2 linked regions of the Arabidopsis thaliana genome follow. The protein of the gene in region 1 interacts with the protein of each later gene in a pairwise test. Each region holds a gene or a part of one and is shown on either strand. Other genes may lie near its edges.

Region 1 (8,917 bases):
AAAAGCAAACGATCAAAAATGGCAAAATTTTCACAAAACTTAGAAGATCAATGAATGATAGAGAAACCAAATCACAAAACTATTCGACCAAACAATCTCTATTTGAACCATTTAAGTTACGCAATACCTACAAGAATCCGAAAGCTCCTTGAAGAAGAAACGTAAGCAGAAGATGAAGAAGAAGAAGCTTAAACAGAGAGAAACCCAGAAATTTAAATCGCGAATTCGAAACCTAAACAGCAATTAAACGCATTTTCATCTTTCTCTCTCTCTAAAAAAACCAGAGCGAAAAAGAGTTCAGTTTTTTTTTTTGAGGGAAGGGAGACGCGAGAGAGAGAGAAAAAAAACGGAGCGCCAAGACGATGACCACGTCATCAGACACGTGTCATGAGAATATATAACAGCGTAAACTACGGTGGTGTTTGATGAGTTGGCTCATCGAGTTTAGTGCCAGCCATTTCTTATGTCATCTCTACCGTACACGTGTTCGATTTCTAGTCGCTCTACGCTTCCCTCATGTTTAGATTATTTTTATAGTCGATATTTACCATAGTGTATAATCCTCTTCAAAATCCGTCATCACATTCACACGTCAGTGAAGTCATGTGCAACATAAAAATAAGAAAACTAAACAATCTTTCCAACGAATTTTCAGAATCATTATTTTTGTATGGCATGAAAATAAACACAATTTAACTTTTGCTACTTACCGATGGGCATATTTGTTTATTATATAGAATATTGCTTCGAATAATTTGGATACATGATAAAAATTTGATTAGAAAGAAGGGACATTATGGTAAAATACGAAGGAAGAAAAGACCTTTGACTAGTAGTATCTCCGACGCGGAGAGCACTTCTGTCGACAAAACTAAAGATCCGAACCGTCCATTATTCACTACCGATTCGTATCTTCCAAAGGTGCCACGAGACGACCCACGTGTATGGCCACGTTTTTGCCATCATGGAATCACCATAAAAGGAAAAATAAAAAATACTTTTTTAGTTTATTTTCTTTCATTATTATGAAAACAAAACAATAAAGAAAAGGCCCACAAGCCCGACAACTGCTTCGAATCCAACGGCTGGGATAAACAAATGATCCAACGGTATAAACTAAGCCACGCCAGTAGATAGTTATTGGCATTTAGAGGCTAAAGGGCCAACGAGGCTTTTTTTTTTTGCGTTGGCGTAAAAGAGCTTCTATCCACGAAGTGGTCCCTACATTACAAAATGCGACTCACATGGATGTATCTACGTGTCGGTTATCCATTGGGTGATGTAGTAAATATTGTCTGGGCTCTCTATTTTTGTTTATTTTTATTTTGTGTACTGTAGAAAGAAATCAGAGAGCATAATACTAGTACTAGTATTATTCAACTTAGGTTTTCGGTGACGTAAGCAAAGGTACAGACCACATCAGCTTTGAATATAGACCGTTGATCTCGGTTTCTCGATTAGAAAAAAATCGACGGTTAAGCTGCAATAAAAACGTGTGTTTTATATAACTTCGAATCATCTGACGTGGCCATCAATATTTTGTAGTGGAAAAAAAAAGTGGGGTCGATAAGTCAGAAAAGGAGATTAATCATCCAACGGCTCAAACGTGTCCCGACAAAATGACGTGTCCGTCTGGTAAGCGGATAGTCTTACTTACGCATTTATGTGGGCCCCATGTGACGAGGACTCAATTCCTCTATCCTCATTTCCTAAATTATCCTTGTCACTTCATTCTATTTCCTCGATGTACCATTGCTATAGCCGCATTGTTTGAACTTTGAATATAAAAGCCTAATGTTCACACTATAGGCAATTTAGCTTCATCATTACGCATCGTAGTAGGCCTTGAGCCCATATTTTAAGACTAACCTCAAAAGCTAGGCCCAAATTCTATCTTGGACTATTTATAAAGACCCATATAGAAAAGTAAAAAAATCCAATCAAAGAATTTACAGAATGAGGTACTCTTTAAGCCATACTTTTGCTCCTTAGGCAATTATTGTACAAAGGACACTCGTGGTTAGAGCTGCTACATAACGAGATTATACAACTTAAATGTGACGACATAGAGAGAGAGAGAGAAGAAAACAGTCAGTGCAGGTCTGAGGAACGTTTAATGGTGAGCTCGGCTCTGAGATGGAGAATGCCATTGATGAAATGTTGACTGTCCTCGGCTATGAACGAAGTCCATGGAATCCCGAAAAGGTTTCTGTAACCAACCGCTTTCCCCCCTGTGAATGTGTAGTTTCCTTTGTATTTGCTTACGTATTCTTCCTTTGTACTTTTATCTCTTGCCGCAAATTCGTAGTCCACACCAAAACTCACAGCCCCTTTCTCTTGCATTCCGAGGAATAGCCCAAAGCAGTGGAACGAGCTTTGCTGGTCCATGTTGCAGTGTGCTGAGAGGAAGAAACCTTGACCTCCTAAGTGGAAAGCCTGAGAATAGACTCTTCCTGAAGGGAATAGTCCTGCGCATTCCTCTCGCTTCAAGTCCAGGTACACTACACATTGCGGGCGAGGAAGCTCAAACTCCACCACTTTTACGGGTCTGTATTTGTAAGCCCTCTCTATGAAACGGCGGTTCATGGAGTCCGATCCTTCAGCTGCGAGGATGCGTTGCCTGTGTGGGGCTTCTGCTTTGAAGAAGAGCGCTTCTAATACTTGCTTTGATGCTACTTCATGCTCAAAATCACTGCACGTTAGTACCTTTTTCAGCTTTCGACACGTCATGTATGGGAAGCGGATGTAGAGTGCAAGGCGTGAACCCAGAATCTCTCTACGATCTTCCAATGAACTATACTGTCCCCTTGCCCATTTCAAGACAAAATCATAAACAGCATCCTCAGAAGCAATTTGGAGATCATCGCTCGATAGTATCGCCTCTATTCCAGCCAATGGTAAGGCCATAACCTCATCATGAAACCTGTACAAGATGGTAACACATGAACAAGAATTATACAACACTAGAGTAAATGCATTTCAAACCACTGGAGAGTCTTACTTGGTAATATCCTTGTAGCGCGAGGCAAGGAACTGCTTTGCTGCATCGGTTAGAGGTTGCACTGCTTCAGCCATTAAAACACTAGAGGGCAGCTCAAGATAGAGCAAAGCAGAATCAGGGGTCATGGGCATATTTCGCAGTAGTCTACTACAATACCTCATACAGGAAGCAACCTCAAACTTGTCAGCAGCCATAAGAACATCTAATAAAGCGGGTGCTGTTGTGACACTTAGAGAGTTGCTATACATAAAGTTTAAAAGCTCCATCAAAGCACCTTCCTCTACAATACACATAAAAGTAGAGCATGAGAAATCAACAATGTGGACTCCCTTAAAGCTAATATCGTATATCATATGTAAATCAAAGTCAGCAACTGAGTTAATACAAGAGGCATAAAGAATCCAAAACAAGAAGAAGCCAACAGAGAGCTAGTAGAGAATTGAAGCCAATATAAAGAGATTGGAGAATAGCAGAAATGAATTAAAAGCTTGACTTAAATTGTCGTACCTTGTGCACTAATTCTAAGGGTTACATGTCTTTGTTCTGATTCCCTCATTCCATTAGAAAACAGCTACAACAGGGTAAGGAAAACAAGAAGCAAAAGATAGCATTACATGCGAGATGAACAAGAGCAAACAATAAGAACATAGAAGAAGAAAAAAGGTTAATACCTTGTAGAAAAAGGGGCTTTTTGCGGCCAAGATAGGAGAACTAATATGCAGTTCTTTAACTCTAACAACAGTAGAACAATCAATACCCCAGTTTGGCTCACTAGATGCATCATCATCACCTACAAAAACCATTAATAAACAAAGCCATCACGTTTCAGACAAATGACTTCAACAAAAAACGCTCTTCTGAAAATTGTTAAGTATCACAAATTCAAACCCAGTCACTCGAGAGACAATGTGAAATTTAGAACGGTACCTGATAAAGCCTCTTCAACCATTGCCTCTCCTTCATCGTCAAGATTATCACCACCAGGAGCATCATCCATATCAGGTTGGTTGTTATCGGTTAAAATCTGTTCTTCAGCACATGCCACAATGTCTGAAATCGCAACTGGAAATGCAAAACGTATAAGTTTCTTAAACATTTAAACCCAAAAGCCCTAAACCAACCATAAGAACAATTCATAAAAACAACAACAAAATCTGAGATTCCAACCGATAGGGAATCAAACGTACCACCATTGTCCTTCTTGTTGTCCTCTCTTCTCCTCTTGCGATGACGAGCCCAATCGGCAATACTCGTACATCCTTCAGCATCAGACCTAGAATCCGAAGGCCCACCCAAGATCTCGATCCGGAGCAAACGATCGGAGAAGTTACTGTCATTGAAAGCGAAACCAAAATCACCTTCGGAGGAAGAACCATGGCGAGAGAAATTGGAATCCATCTCCGTCTTAGGGTCAAATAGATCGGTGTTATTGGAACCTCTCATCCTCCTTTTCGAAAACCCTCTTCTCCGTGTCTTCTCTCCGGCGAGAACCGAGCAGAAGAATCAGGATAACAATAAGGGTCAAATTCGAAAAGGTTTTTTTGAGGAACGAAAATGACAAAGAAACACTAAAAAAGTCTTTCTCTGTTTTTTTTTTCTGAAACAAAGAGCGGGTCGACGTTGAACGGTTATGGTAACAGGGCGGTGACGGATAAAGGCTAATTAAAGACAAAGAGGTTCGTTAATGCCAGCCTAACTAATTGTTTAACCGGTTTGGTCTTTTGATTGTAATAAGCACTTTGGTTCTTTTTCCGGTATTTTGCATAAATCGCGTAGGTACGATTTTGATTTTGACTTATCGGATTCGATTTTTAGTATTTGGGGGAAATTTAGCATTTACTTAATTAGAGGAGGAAAAAGGTAATAGGCAAAATTAGGAGTGTATTTAGTTGGAAAGCGTCAAATTTGGTAAGAAGACAACTCGTTCAACAAACGGCAATGCCTTTTATGTCGTTAAATATTCGTTGGAATCAAAGTCTAATTTGGAGTTTTCTTTTAATAAAATACAATTACTTCAACGTTTTACAGACTTTGTTAATTAGATTTTGACCGAGTGAAACTTGGCTATGCAATGATAACTTGACAAAAAAAAAAGGACTAATTTATAAATTGAAATCCGGCCGGTATACATTTCTTCGTAGGCCAACACATGACAAACCAGTTGACTATGTTGTGTACTACTAGGGATCATTTGAGATGATACGACTTAACGTATCGACTACAAGCAACCCAGCTGCTATTATTTCTTGAAACCATCGATGGTATATTTTCTCAAACCAAAACAATTATAGTGTACTTGTTTCGATCTGATCGAAGTTAAACCTAACTTTATTATTGTTCTTGTTTTAACTAAAAACGTATCCAAGACCAGTTTTGATGAATATATTTTTTTCTTTTTTTAGGTGAAATGTCCCCTTCGTATTTACGACAAACACACGACTAATGTTAAAATTAAAACAAGGAACAAGAAATATTTATACATTTGTCAGTTTTAATCTGTATTTCCATTAATATCATATTTTCAAATTGGCACACGAACGTCTTCTCGTAAATAAACAACATTAATATTGCTTCCATGCAAGCATCAACCACAAACACCTGCAAATAAACATGACAACCTGAAAAAAAAAATGCACTAGAGAAAAAGAAAACAAGTTAGATCGAAACCAAGTTTTGAAGAACAGAGACTAATTAAGAGAAGAAGAAAAGGAGCTCCCTTCAATCCAAACGAAGAGAAGAGAATGATATGTAGAGAAAGAGGGAGAATCTAAGAGGTCGTGCAATCCCCTTAAAGTGTGCTTTCTTCAAGCTTTTAACACCGCGCACTCTCTATGAGGAAGACATGAACTCTTAGATTCTGCATTTTAGTTCCTCAAATCTTGTCCTCTTCGTTTTGGAGGAAGGGAGCTCCTTCTGTTACACTTGAAGAACGAATGTCCCCCAAAAAGAGTTTGATATCTTTTTACAATAAAACGAACCAAAAATAAACTATGGAAAGAGGGAGAATCTAATATGTATGGTGATGGATTGTTGAGGCTTATGATGATGATGTGAAAGAACATGTTGTGTTAAGTCGTTTTATAGATGAAAGAGCATCAACCCTAGTCTACTCCTTGGGACGATTATGGAACAAGTGTAAATAAAAAATTGAAAAATATAGAAGAATAAATGGCAGTAAATCTTATTATTATTATTTATTTATTTATTTTGGCAGTAAATCTTATTGTCATTAATTAGAGATTAAACATAATCTTGTTGACTAGATTCTCTTTTAGAGAGAGATACGGTTAGGGTGCAACACTATGGTTTATGGAGTATTTGCAATTCCATTGCATTAAGACTAAAAAGAGAATTAGTTAGATTTCAAATGTCCAAACAATAACTAAACCGTACTTTTTGTATATTGAAGAGAATCTAGGCATTCGTAAGACCATCATTATTGATAGTTTTTTAGGTTAGTTTTTAGATAAAGTAGATCTTAAATTTAATGTTATAATTCAATTAATGGTTAAGAATAGCTCTTATATAAGAGCCAAATCTAATGTTTTTTAAGTTAATTCTTAGATAAATTAGGTCTTAAATATAATATTTTAATTTAATTAATCTTAATTTTTAGATAACTTAAGTATTAAATAGAATTGTTTGTCATATTTGTTTAAAATTTTATGTCATGTATGTTTTAAATTTTATGAGTTGTAATAACTATTAAGTTTTTTAAAATTATAATGTTTCTATTTTTTTTTTCAAATTTTCTTTTTAAGAACTCCAAGTTAAGATTCCACCATTGCATATTGCCTAAATTTCAATCTCTTAACCAAGTTTTTAACTTCAGAATTTTCAAAATCAATTATAAAAATATTCATAAAAACTATATTAAAATTATGCTAAGAAACTACCATTAATGATGCTCTAAAACAGATAGAGTTTGGTCAATCGCTATTACCGACACATCTTTGACTTGGCTTTTTTTTTTTTTTTAACGTTTATTAATCACCAATCAGTCTTCTTAAAACTTGTGGAATTTTTGATGACCAAAGATTTGAACTAATCGGTTAAATTGTCTCTTCTTTAAGTTACATCTTTTTGTTCTTAATTACAACTGCCAAAAATAGTTGACCGGAGTTGTGTTCTTTTTTTTTGTCGAACCGGAGTTGTGTTCAATGTCAATATATGTGAACTGTTGACAAAATTAGCTTTTTCCTTTTTTCATGTGAAATTGGTTTCTGTCACTGGGACAATTAAAATATTTAGTTTTTTTAACGACTAACGAGCATTAATATTAACCACAACCAAATAATTAATCCAACATACATGAGAAGACACGAGTTAATTATTTGCTCGAACCGGAATTATCACTCTGGTTTCAAAGAAGAACGTAAACGTCGACTTTCTACACGAGCTTCCATCAGCTTATCCTTGAGAGTACGATGATTATCTTCCCTGATCATCACATTCACATTTCTCGGATGATTCTTCGAGAAAGTTCTAGACTTTTCTTGACTCTCATGATCATCAACGTTCCTTGGACTACTCTCTGGATGAATCTTATCTCCTTCCGAAGACATAGATAGATTAAGAACTTGGCCTGAGCTCTTCTTAAGCTGCAGTTTGTTATCTCTTCTTGTTCGCTTTTCAAGCCCTTCTTCGAGTTCCTTCAGGCAAACCCTTTGATGCATAGATACCGAATCATCTGGTTTTGCTCTCAAGCCACTTCCTTTACTTGACTGTGATCTACTCTTCTCCTTAGCTCGCAGAAGAAATGTTTTATCATCTTCCTCTAGCTTCATTTGTAATCTCTGGTCACTCCACACTTCTGCAATCTGCACAATTACTTTATCACTCACCGGTGACTTTTTGCCAATTCTTCTCACCTTATCTTCATAATCTTTCACCGCTTTTGCAAACTCATCGCAGAGATTTTCCACAACAACACGTTCCTGTGTCTCCTTTTCAAGGTCTTTCAAAGCTTTGGACAAACAATGCTTCGCTTCACAAAGCTCTCGTGTTAGCTTCCGGTGCAAAGTCTCTGACTCCTTTCTAACTTTTCTCTCATCATCTAACTCCCTCTTTATGGATCGAAACACATCTTTTACCTCTTCTTCTTCTTTTTTCTTCCTCAGTGGCCTATCGCTTAGCTTCTTCCGTTGCTGAACCTCCTTAATCTCGGCTCTACATTCATCCAACTCCATCTTTAAAGCTCTAACCAAAGACATATTAGCAGTATTCTGTTCTTCGAGACTCCATATCCGGTTTAGCACCTTGAGAAGCTTTGTAGAGGAACCCAAACCATAGCTTGCAGACTTAACCGCCGAAGAACCTGTCTGACTAAACGCTGGCTTACGCACCACAACCTACAAGCACATTAAGCCAACACACACCAAATCCAGCTCAAAACAAGATTGTTAAAAAGCATTCCTTGGTTAAATTTAAGAGTGAACAAAGAGCAAAAAACTTTGTTTTCTTCACCTGCAATGAACTGCTGCTGCTGCTGCAACTTGCAGGAGAGATAGGTTGCAACAGATCACCATTTCTATAATCATCAGTTGCTGCAATTTGCCTCCTCAAGCTAGCTCTGCTTGGTGGCTGCAAATTAAAACTCATATATAAATACTAAACACACTTACGAGCCAACTTTACGACCATGAGATTTGTCCAATGAAATTTGTGCATAGACGAGCAAAAGACCACATCATAAAGAACAATACTTTGAGATTTTCTCGGTGGAATTTGCGCAAAAATGAGATTTTTTCCGGTCGAATATACTCTAACCTCACCGTAAAGATCACAACTTTACGACCTATCAAAACAAGAAGACTAAAACCCTACATAAACCCGTCAAAAACATTCAAGCAAATCAAAAGCGCCAAAATTGTTTACATGATCGTGAAGCGGGCTACGGGAATGCGATTCCACATC
Region 2 (8,145 bases), 9.4 Mb from region 1:
ACCAGAACCTTCTTTCTTGTGCAAAGTATCTCTAAAACGTCAAACCTCATTATATAGAGGCCCATTTACTGAATTTTGAGAAAATCTGAAACTTTTTTAGATTTTGGACGTTGTGTAACGAATGATGAATTAGAAGCAAAGTTTCAAACCATATTCATATTTCTTGTTGCTAACATAATGAATCGTATGAATATGGTTTGAAACTTTGCTTCTAATTTATTATCATAGAACTCAGTCTCATCCAACCGCACAGCTCCAACTAAACTACAAATGTGTTTCTCAAACAAGACACATTGCAAGTGTCACACACACAAGTAAGATCATCAATTCACCAGAATCATCACCAATGAAGACACTTGAAATCTCTGGTCTGAGAAAACTTGTAAAACTTTGCAACAAATTCAACAAAACAACAAGATGAATTCGAATCACACTTTTGTTACACTAAAATTTCTAATGAGACTGAGTCCTATGATGATTATTAGTTATTTGAGGCATCACTAAAATATATTTTTGATCCCTAACCAAGAGTATATCGATAATCAAAATTCTACAATATTTTATATTCTAACTTTCCATAACGAGAAAGTTTATCGGTGACAAGCGTTACTAACCAGAAATGCAGTGAAGAGAGATCATACATAGTGAAAATCATAAAAATGAAAGCCTCTTCCATAGGCAGAAACTTACACAAACATTTGAGAATTCACTACTTAGACATTGTCTCTTGTTACTACCGAGTTAAAAAGATTTACATTACTCTCCTCACTCCATCAACTTCTTTGAATTGTTCCATCTCTAACCACCATACGGTAAGCTGCACAACACCATACATTAAATCAATAACTTATTTTTTAGAGTGATTTTGTAGATGATTAGATTTGTGCCAGAATTTTCAAAAAACAAACCATAAATAAGTGGTGTTTTTTATGACAGGTAATTTTAACAAATAGCATGATATCATGTAAAATATACAAAATAACATGTTATTTGTTAGAATTACAAATATACAACAAATAAACCAAATTTATTTACGATTCTGTGTCATCCATATCTTGCAATGCCAATAAATATGGACAACATACATGTATATGGTCGTTTAAAGTATATATTTTTATATTCTTTGTCTCAATTTAAAAACAAAAAAAAAATCATGTAAAGCTATCAACTCAAAAGAATGTAAAAAGAAAGGGTGATTAATTGGTTACCCGAGCCTAAGGGAAGTGTCGGAGCTCTCGGAGTCAACAGGCGCTCCGGTAGAGTTTCCGGCGTTAGTAATAGACTCCGACGACTGTCCTTCCTCGTACACAGCAGCGTTCTCCGATTCAGCACCACCGTGTGCATGCACATTGTTACATATCTACACGTAACCAAAAAAAAATATTCCAAATTTAACATTAAACTGATAACAAACATACAAAATTCAAAATAATCAAGACTATATATATATCCACGTACTTGCATGCCAAGTCGCTCGTTCTCTTCCGTTAGTTGCGTTCCCTGCAAAAATCAAGACAAAACATATCATTAAGTTCTCTAGCTAAGTATTTGCATTTTGTGTTTTTAGTGGCACCATGTGTTTTGAATTTCTCTAGAGATCAACTAACTACGAATGAGCAAATCTTGACATGAAGCCTCGACCAAACTATATATCAAACAAGAATTAGATATATATTCGTTTATGGTTCCCTGTTTCAAAAAACAAAATGAAGATGAAAAAGAAAAAACGCACCAAATCCATGCATGCACACTCGTAGACCTCTAGGACCCTAGAGACTAACTAGCTACATGGTTACCTTTAGTTTTAAAGACATTTTTAAATCGCGCTATATCACTTGGTTTATTCATTTATCTCACAGTATGATCAAACATATGTGTTGTAGACAACTGGGGATTAAATTTAGGGGTGTGTACGTTAATGGTAGACAAAAGAAAGGGATTTGTTATCAACAGAGAGGGTAAGACACATACTTGCTGCCTCAACCGCTTGTTCTCATCCATCAATTGCATTCCCTGAACACCAAAAAAAAAGAGAAGAAGATGAAAATTTTGGATCTTGAAACTGCCAAAATTAATATTGAAATCATCAAGTAAAGAATAAACGTTATTTTGGTTAATTATTACCTTTTTCTGAAGTTCGCTGATCTCACTCATAATCTTGTCACTCTGCAAACACATCTCGTATTAGTAAATTGCATACTCGTAAGCTTAGAGAAACTTATACATGGTATCAAGTAATTTTCTTAACAACCTTTGTTTCAATCACACGCGTCAAACCAGTTTCAAGGGCCTTCTCTAGCTGCTGAAGCTCTTCAATGTCAAGTCCTTGAAGTTCCTCTCCTCTCATTTGCCTATATATGATCATGTAAACACACAGTTAGAAAATGATAGTGGTTGATCAAAAAAAAAATTAGTTAGAAAATGATAGTTAGTTCAAAAGTCATAGAATATACATATATAACGTACCTTAGTCGGTGGCTCTTGTCCGCAATTTCTTTACTCATTCGGGCGTGATCACTGTTCTCAACCAGCTAACAGAATAAAACATTGATTTAAGCTCTTAATCATATCCATAATGATCTAAAGCTCAACTCTCTACACAGGACTACTCTACATGACTACTACATGGATCGAGTCTAATTAATCATATGCAATAATATAAAGTTTTGTACCTATTAATACAAAGTTTTAAGAGATTCTTGGTCAATAAATACAACAATCTAAAACATATTGGTAATTCAACGGAGTAATACTCGATTTTGCAAGTTACAGAAATCGGGAAAGAAAATGTGTGGTCGTTTCGAGAATGTAGCTAACCTGTAACTCAAGAGATGGCTGATCAAGCTTCTCCAAGTTCTTTGACTGCAAGTTATGCCTCTCTAGGACTTCCTTCATGCTTCATAATATAAACACATTCCAATAAATAACTTATTATAAACAACTATACTGTTGATATTAACAATGTGCATATGTAAACACCGACAATATACCAAAATCTAAAATCAAAAGATGCAAACCAAATCCACAAAACACATTTAATCCCAAACATGTACATTATTTCATGTTAACACTATCGTTTTCAGTTACATATATACACAATTATCTGTGAAAGTGTGTATGTCCCCGAAGATAGGAACTGAGCTGATAACTAGTGGGTCAAAAATCCAAAATCGTATCTCTGTAATACGATAAGTCATTTTAGATCCCTAATATCAATAATATCTCTCTAAATGACTTTTCCCAACACTAATAAAGATTCCAACATATCTATACATATACATATATATATATATATTATTTTTAGATTACTTCTTCAAAGGGAAAGCTTTATACATCCACACATATAGATACTTCCTCATGTTATGGTACCCACATATTTCTATATAAATATGACATTGACGGCTTAAACATATCATACCACAATATCTATATACATAGATTTATACATGGTTGACACAAATACCTACTATAGAGCATGTATTTATATACTAATAATATACATATATGCATATCCAGATTTACATCTTTTTGAATATTACCGTAGTTAGATACCTTAATTTATCTAAATACAGAGTTTTACTATACACTTTATATATGTCATTTATGGTCATGATTAATGTTTCTAACAACTATTTTAATTATATAAATAGTTAGTGGTCCTATAAAGATTGATACAGTAAACTCCTATGTATCAGATATACATCTAAAAACTCTTTAAAGTTTTTTGTCTGGATCTAGACAAGATTCCTTCGATGAGTTATGAGAAATCTATAGAGAGGGAAGTTAGAGAGAGAAAGAAAGACCTGGAGCTACAGAACTCGAACAGTTTTCCGGTGGAAGAGAAGATGATGAGAGCGACATCGGCGTCGCAGAGAACGGAGAGTTCTTCAGCTTTCTTGAAAAGCCCTCTTCTTCGTTTCGAAAACGTCACTTGTCTCGCCGTTGCGTTGTCGATCTTCCTGATCTGAATCTTTTCTCTCGCCATCACAACGAACAAAAAAACCCTAGAAGCAAGAGAGAGAGCTTAGGTTTTGATTTTAATGGATCTTTCGAGAACGGGATTGATTTTGATGGATCAAGATTCAAGAATGAGAGATGATTAAAGAGAGAGTAAAGAGAAGAGATGGAGGAGGAGGAAGAAGAAGCCAGAGGAAATAAATTTTGTGAGAGAGAGAATTTTTGCTAAAAAGGGAGACTTTAAAGAAGAGAGAGAGAGTGACAAGACGACTGAAATGGAAAGTAAATCGTGTTCTTTTTGCTAAATTTAGAAGAATAAATATGATTTCAAGACAGTAAAAACCCTAGTTTTTGAAAGATTTGAAAGAAAGAACACACTCAGTCTTTTGTGAGAAGAATTAGATCTAGTCGATGAATCAACAAGGAAATTAGAGAGGATCAAAAGAAAAAAAACTCAAGAAGAAGAAGAAAACTAAAGGAGAAAAAAAGCTAAGGGAATATATTTAATTTTCCACCTCAAAGGTCGAGGAGAGAAGAAGACATGAGAAGGTTTTGATTGGTGAAGGATGAGATATTTTCAGGGAGAGGTTTATTAATTTTATAATACTATCAAGATGATGGGGTTTCTTAAATGATTATTTTTGGAAAGAAAACGATATATATTATATTTTTAGTTTTAGTTTTTTTTTTGGATATTGGTCTGTGTGTGGTGGTTATTGGATATGGTGAGGTAATAGGATTTATAAGTCTCCAATGAGATGAGAGAGAGAAGAGAAGTGTGTGTTTGGGTCAGTGGGGAATTTCTTTTTATAGGGAAGCATAAAATGAGTTGTCTCACTTTGTTCACTTATACTCCTTGTAACTAATTGGTTGGTATTTACTGCAAAAACTAACTAGAAGACCTGAAGAACATCAAGGGCTACAACGTATTTTCATTTTTGTAAATCTACGTACTATATGGTAATGGTACCTCATAACAAAATTCAGAAAGAACAAAATAATATCAACTGTATATTATTTTTATTTATGTAAAAACATTTGGGAAGATGACATTTCAGAATTTTTCTGAGGACAATGTTTTGTTTTTACTGAAAGAAATAAGTTTGTGAGTTCGGCCTTGGTTTGTAAGAATCCAACTCGGAAATGACAAAATAATTTGTTAATTTCAAAGACATTAGTGCAATAATTTTTGAAAATTTAGTAGTCAATCATGTGGCATATAACTTGTCGAAAAATTGTGTCCTTAAAAAAAGAGGTTTGTAACCTAATGAACCATATCTACTCAGATACATGTAGTCCATTATACAATTACAATCTATGCACTAATTTGGAAAGTTTGTCATGCACAAATAAATTTTGTTCAATCCCAGTAACAATTACACACACAATGGGGGTATCAATCATCACTGAAGTATTTTTTTATAAAACCAATTGAATATGTAACTCAAAATAAAATTTAAATGAAATCACTTTCTTACGAGGTTATTTATCATTTAACATTTTAATACATAAGCTCAACATTACAAATCACATATACTTCACCAACGTCAACAACAGAACCAAACATATGATTTCAATCGCCACAATCATCATTCCATAGACTAAAAAGCAATTTACAAAACCGTGATTAAAGGTAAGAAAATAAAATTAAAGGGTTTTTAAAAATAAAATAATGTTTAAGCATACCTTCATACGAAGAAACAGTGAATAGAGGGACCCTCGAGGCACGAGCCAGAGTAAAATAAAAAGTGTCGACCACTAAAATTTTTCAAAGGGACCCAAAACCAGACCCGAAGCAGCCACAAGAAATCTGATTGGGACACGATCCATTGTCCGTACAGAATTTTATTTCTAAATTAAAGTTTTACCCAAATAAAGATACTCCACGCAACTACTACAAACCCATTCTTCTTCTCTTTATTACTCCAAGTTTGCAATAATCTACCCTTCAAGAATACATGTGGCTCGTATCACTCACCCCCTATTTGAGTATTATTTACTCTTCCGACGAAACTCTTGTGTTGTATTATTGCGAATTTATTATGATACTATATGAATTATGAAGTTGCAAACGGTAAAAAAGTCATATGGTTGATGTGATTAATACGGTGTTAAATATAATTATGGTTTGCGTTAATTTACTGTAAACTCTTTTCTTTTCTTCTTTAACTCTTTTCTATCTAATTGGGTAATCAAGCAAATATAGTTGAATTATAATTTGAAATTTTTGTTGACAACAAAATATTAATATGGTTTGCGTTTGTGTTCTACGAGTAATGGAATTATGGAAGTTTTTAAAACAAAAATGTAGTATTTTTTGAAAATTTTGATGACGTATATTAGAAAACACTAGAAAACAAAACCTTCTAGTGGTTAAAGTTGCTAGGAGAATAACTATAAGAGAGGTGGCCTGATCGATATTACTTATTTCGGCATAATACATATTCCTTTCTAACGTATTTTAAACAAAGAAAATCGTTGAGTTTTTTTCAGCTTGGTTTGGTTTCGAAAAAAAAAAAGTTTGTTCACTCACAAAATTATTATCAAGTAATGTTTATTCATATTTGTCATGGTTTGGTAAAAGTAGATTAAATTTGGTAGAACATCCATCAATTGGCGTTTGGAACCGCATGAATCATTTATATTTGAAATTGAATAGTGTTTAGAGGCGCACGTGACACAACTGGTGAGGTCTTTGAGTTTTGATTGGTCAAAGTGTCAGAGTTTTTATGAGTAGACGACTCGTGACCTTTCCCTTAACAGTTCCAAGCCTCTCTAATGAAACATTGCACCTAACCTTTTAGCCATTTTAGGCTTCTTTCTTTCTACACAGTCCCTACACTACACACTCTCTCTGACACATCAAGGAAACTACAGTCACCGTTATCATAAAGCGGAGTCCCTAATGGGCTTTTTATTATTATTGGGCTTTTATTAGGCCCAAATTTTCCTTACGAGTAAAATAAGTATTATTTTGGTTCAGTTTCTCGCCGGATCCTGAAAATGACGACGGCGGCGATGACTTGTACGAGACTGACGATATTTACGGTGGCCGGAATATTACTTCAGATTATTGGCCTCTCCATTTTCGTATTCGGTTTCTTCCCCGTCAAGCCGACTCTCTCCGGCGTCAGGTACTACTAAATCAATAACATTTGAAGTCGAAGAAGAAGAATCTACGCTCTATTGATTTGTTTATTTGAAATGGCAGTGGCTCGGAGAGCTATCGAGATCCATTCTGTGATTCTTCTCTGATTTCGAACGAATCGGAGCTTCATCATCCAGAGAAACTGAGATTGCTGTACCAGGTATTTGTCTCTTTTGTGAATCCAAAAACAAATGTGTAAAGTTCCCTTTTGAGTTTGATAGTGGTGAATTTGTAGGAGTTATCTGGAATCTCTTCCAAATATGATCGACTGATTTTAATGGTATGTTGCACTTTGTTAAAATTTTGATTTTGATCTTTGTGAGAGAGTGTTTTTGAGGATGTTAAAGCGATGCTAGTTTAGGTTATTGATGGGCTACCTGCGGAGTTCGTTCTTGGGAAAGATGGTAAACCTCCAGAGAAGGTTTTGAAAGAGTCTATGCCTTATACTCAGTCACTGTTAGCTAATGGAGATGCTATTGGTTACCATGCTAAAGCAGCTCCTCCAACTGTTACCATGCCGAGGTTAAAGGTGTGTGTATAGTTGTGATTAAGTGGATGATCACAGTCTAAATGAATTTATTTGCTTGCTTAGTTGATAGAATTCATTGTTTTTTTCAGGCAATGGTTTCTGGGGCAATTGGTGGTTTCTTGGATGTTGCTTTTAATTTTAACACACAAGCTCTCTTAGATGATAATATTCTTGGTAACTATTAGTTTTCAACAATGAGAAATTTTTCATGCTTGCAAACATTGAAAGAAAAGCTATGTGACATTGGTCCAAATTTACCAGGTCAGTTTTTCAGGATTGGTTGGAAAATGGTGATGCTCGGTGATGAGACGTGGCTCAAGTTATTTCCAGGGCTATTTATGAGACATGACGGTGTTAGCAGTTTCTTTGTGAGTTAATGTGATGTTTGGTTTTGTTGATTGCTTTTCTTATCGACATCATGGTCATCTGAACAAAAAATGTTTTTTTGGACAGGTCAAAGATACAGTACAGGTAGACAGAAATGTTTCTCGACACTTGCCCGATGAGCTAA

What was found. Proteins that work in one complex are often made in the same cells at the same time.
Region 2: the proteins of LRB1 (region 1) and SVP interact in binary tests that used the Arabidopsis thaliana proteins (3 or more experiments, as listed by UniProt).

What each region holds. Positions count from the first base shown.
Region 1 is NC_003071.7:18,991,638-19,000,554, reverse strand, and holds LRB1 (BTB/POZ/Kelch-associated protein), read right to left. Parts: upstream 4,911-8,917; 5' UTR 4,445-4,910; coding exon 4,189-4,444; intron 4,064-4,188; coding exon 3,929-4,063; intron 3,792-3,928; coding exon 3,673-3,791; intron 3,573-3,672; coding exon 3,509-3,572; intron 3,282-3,508; coding exon 3,002-3,281; intron 2,924-3,001; coding exon 2,092-2,923; 3' UTR 1,883-2,091; downstream 1-1,882. Other genes in the region: AT2G46250 (myosin heavy chain-like protein), read right to left, coding at 7,354-8,352, 8,468-8,584, 8,879-8,917. UniProt on the Arabidopsis thaliana protein: May act as a substrate-specific adapter of an E3 ubiquitin-protein ligase complex (CUL3-RBX1-BTB) which mediates the ubiquitination and subsequent proteasomal degradation of target proteins.
Region 2 is NC_003071.7:9,576,257-9,584,401, reverse strand, and holds SVP (K-box region and MADS-box transcription factor family protein), read right to left. Parts: upstream 4,756-8,145; 5' UTR 3,986-4,755; coding exon 3,804-3,985; intron 2,897-3,803; coding exon 2,818-2,896; intron 2,532-2,817; coding exon 2,467-2,531; intron 2,352-2,466; coding exon 2,252-2,351; intron 2,167-2,251; coding exon 2,125-2,166; intron 2,014-2,124; coding exon 1,972-2,013; intron 1,501-1,971; coding exon 1,459-1,500; intron 1,361-1,458; coding exon 1,209-1,360; intron 818-1,208; coding exon 799-817; 3' UTR 501-798; downstream 1-500. Other genes in the region: AT2G22530 (Alkaline-phosphatase-like family protein), read left to right, coding at 6,961-7,091, 7,169-7,265, 7,341-7,385, 7,467-7,634, 7,724-7,808, 7,896-8,002, 8,088-8,145. UniProt on the Arabidopsis thaliana protein: Transcription repressor that inhibit floral transition in the autonomous flowering pathway, independent of photoperiod and temperature. Acts in a dosage-dependent manner.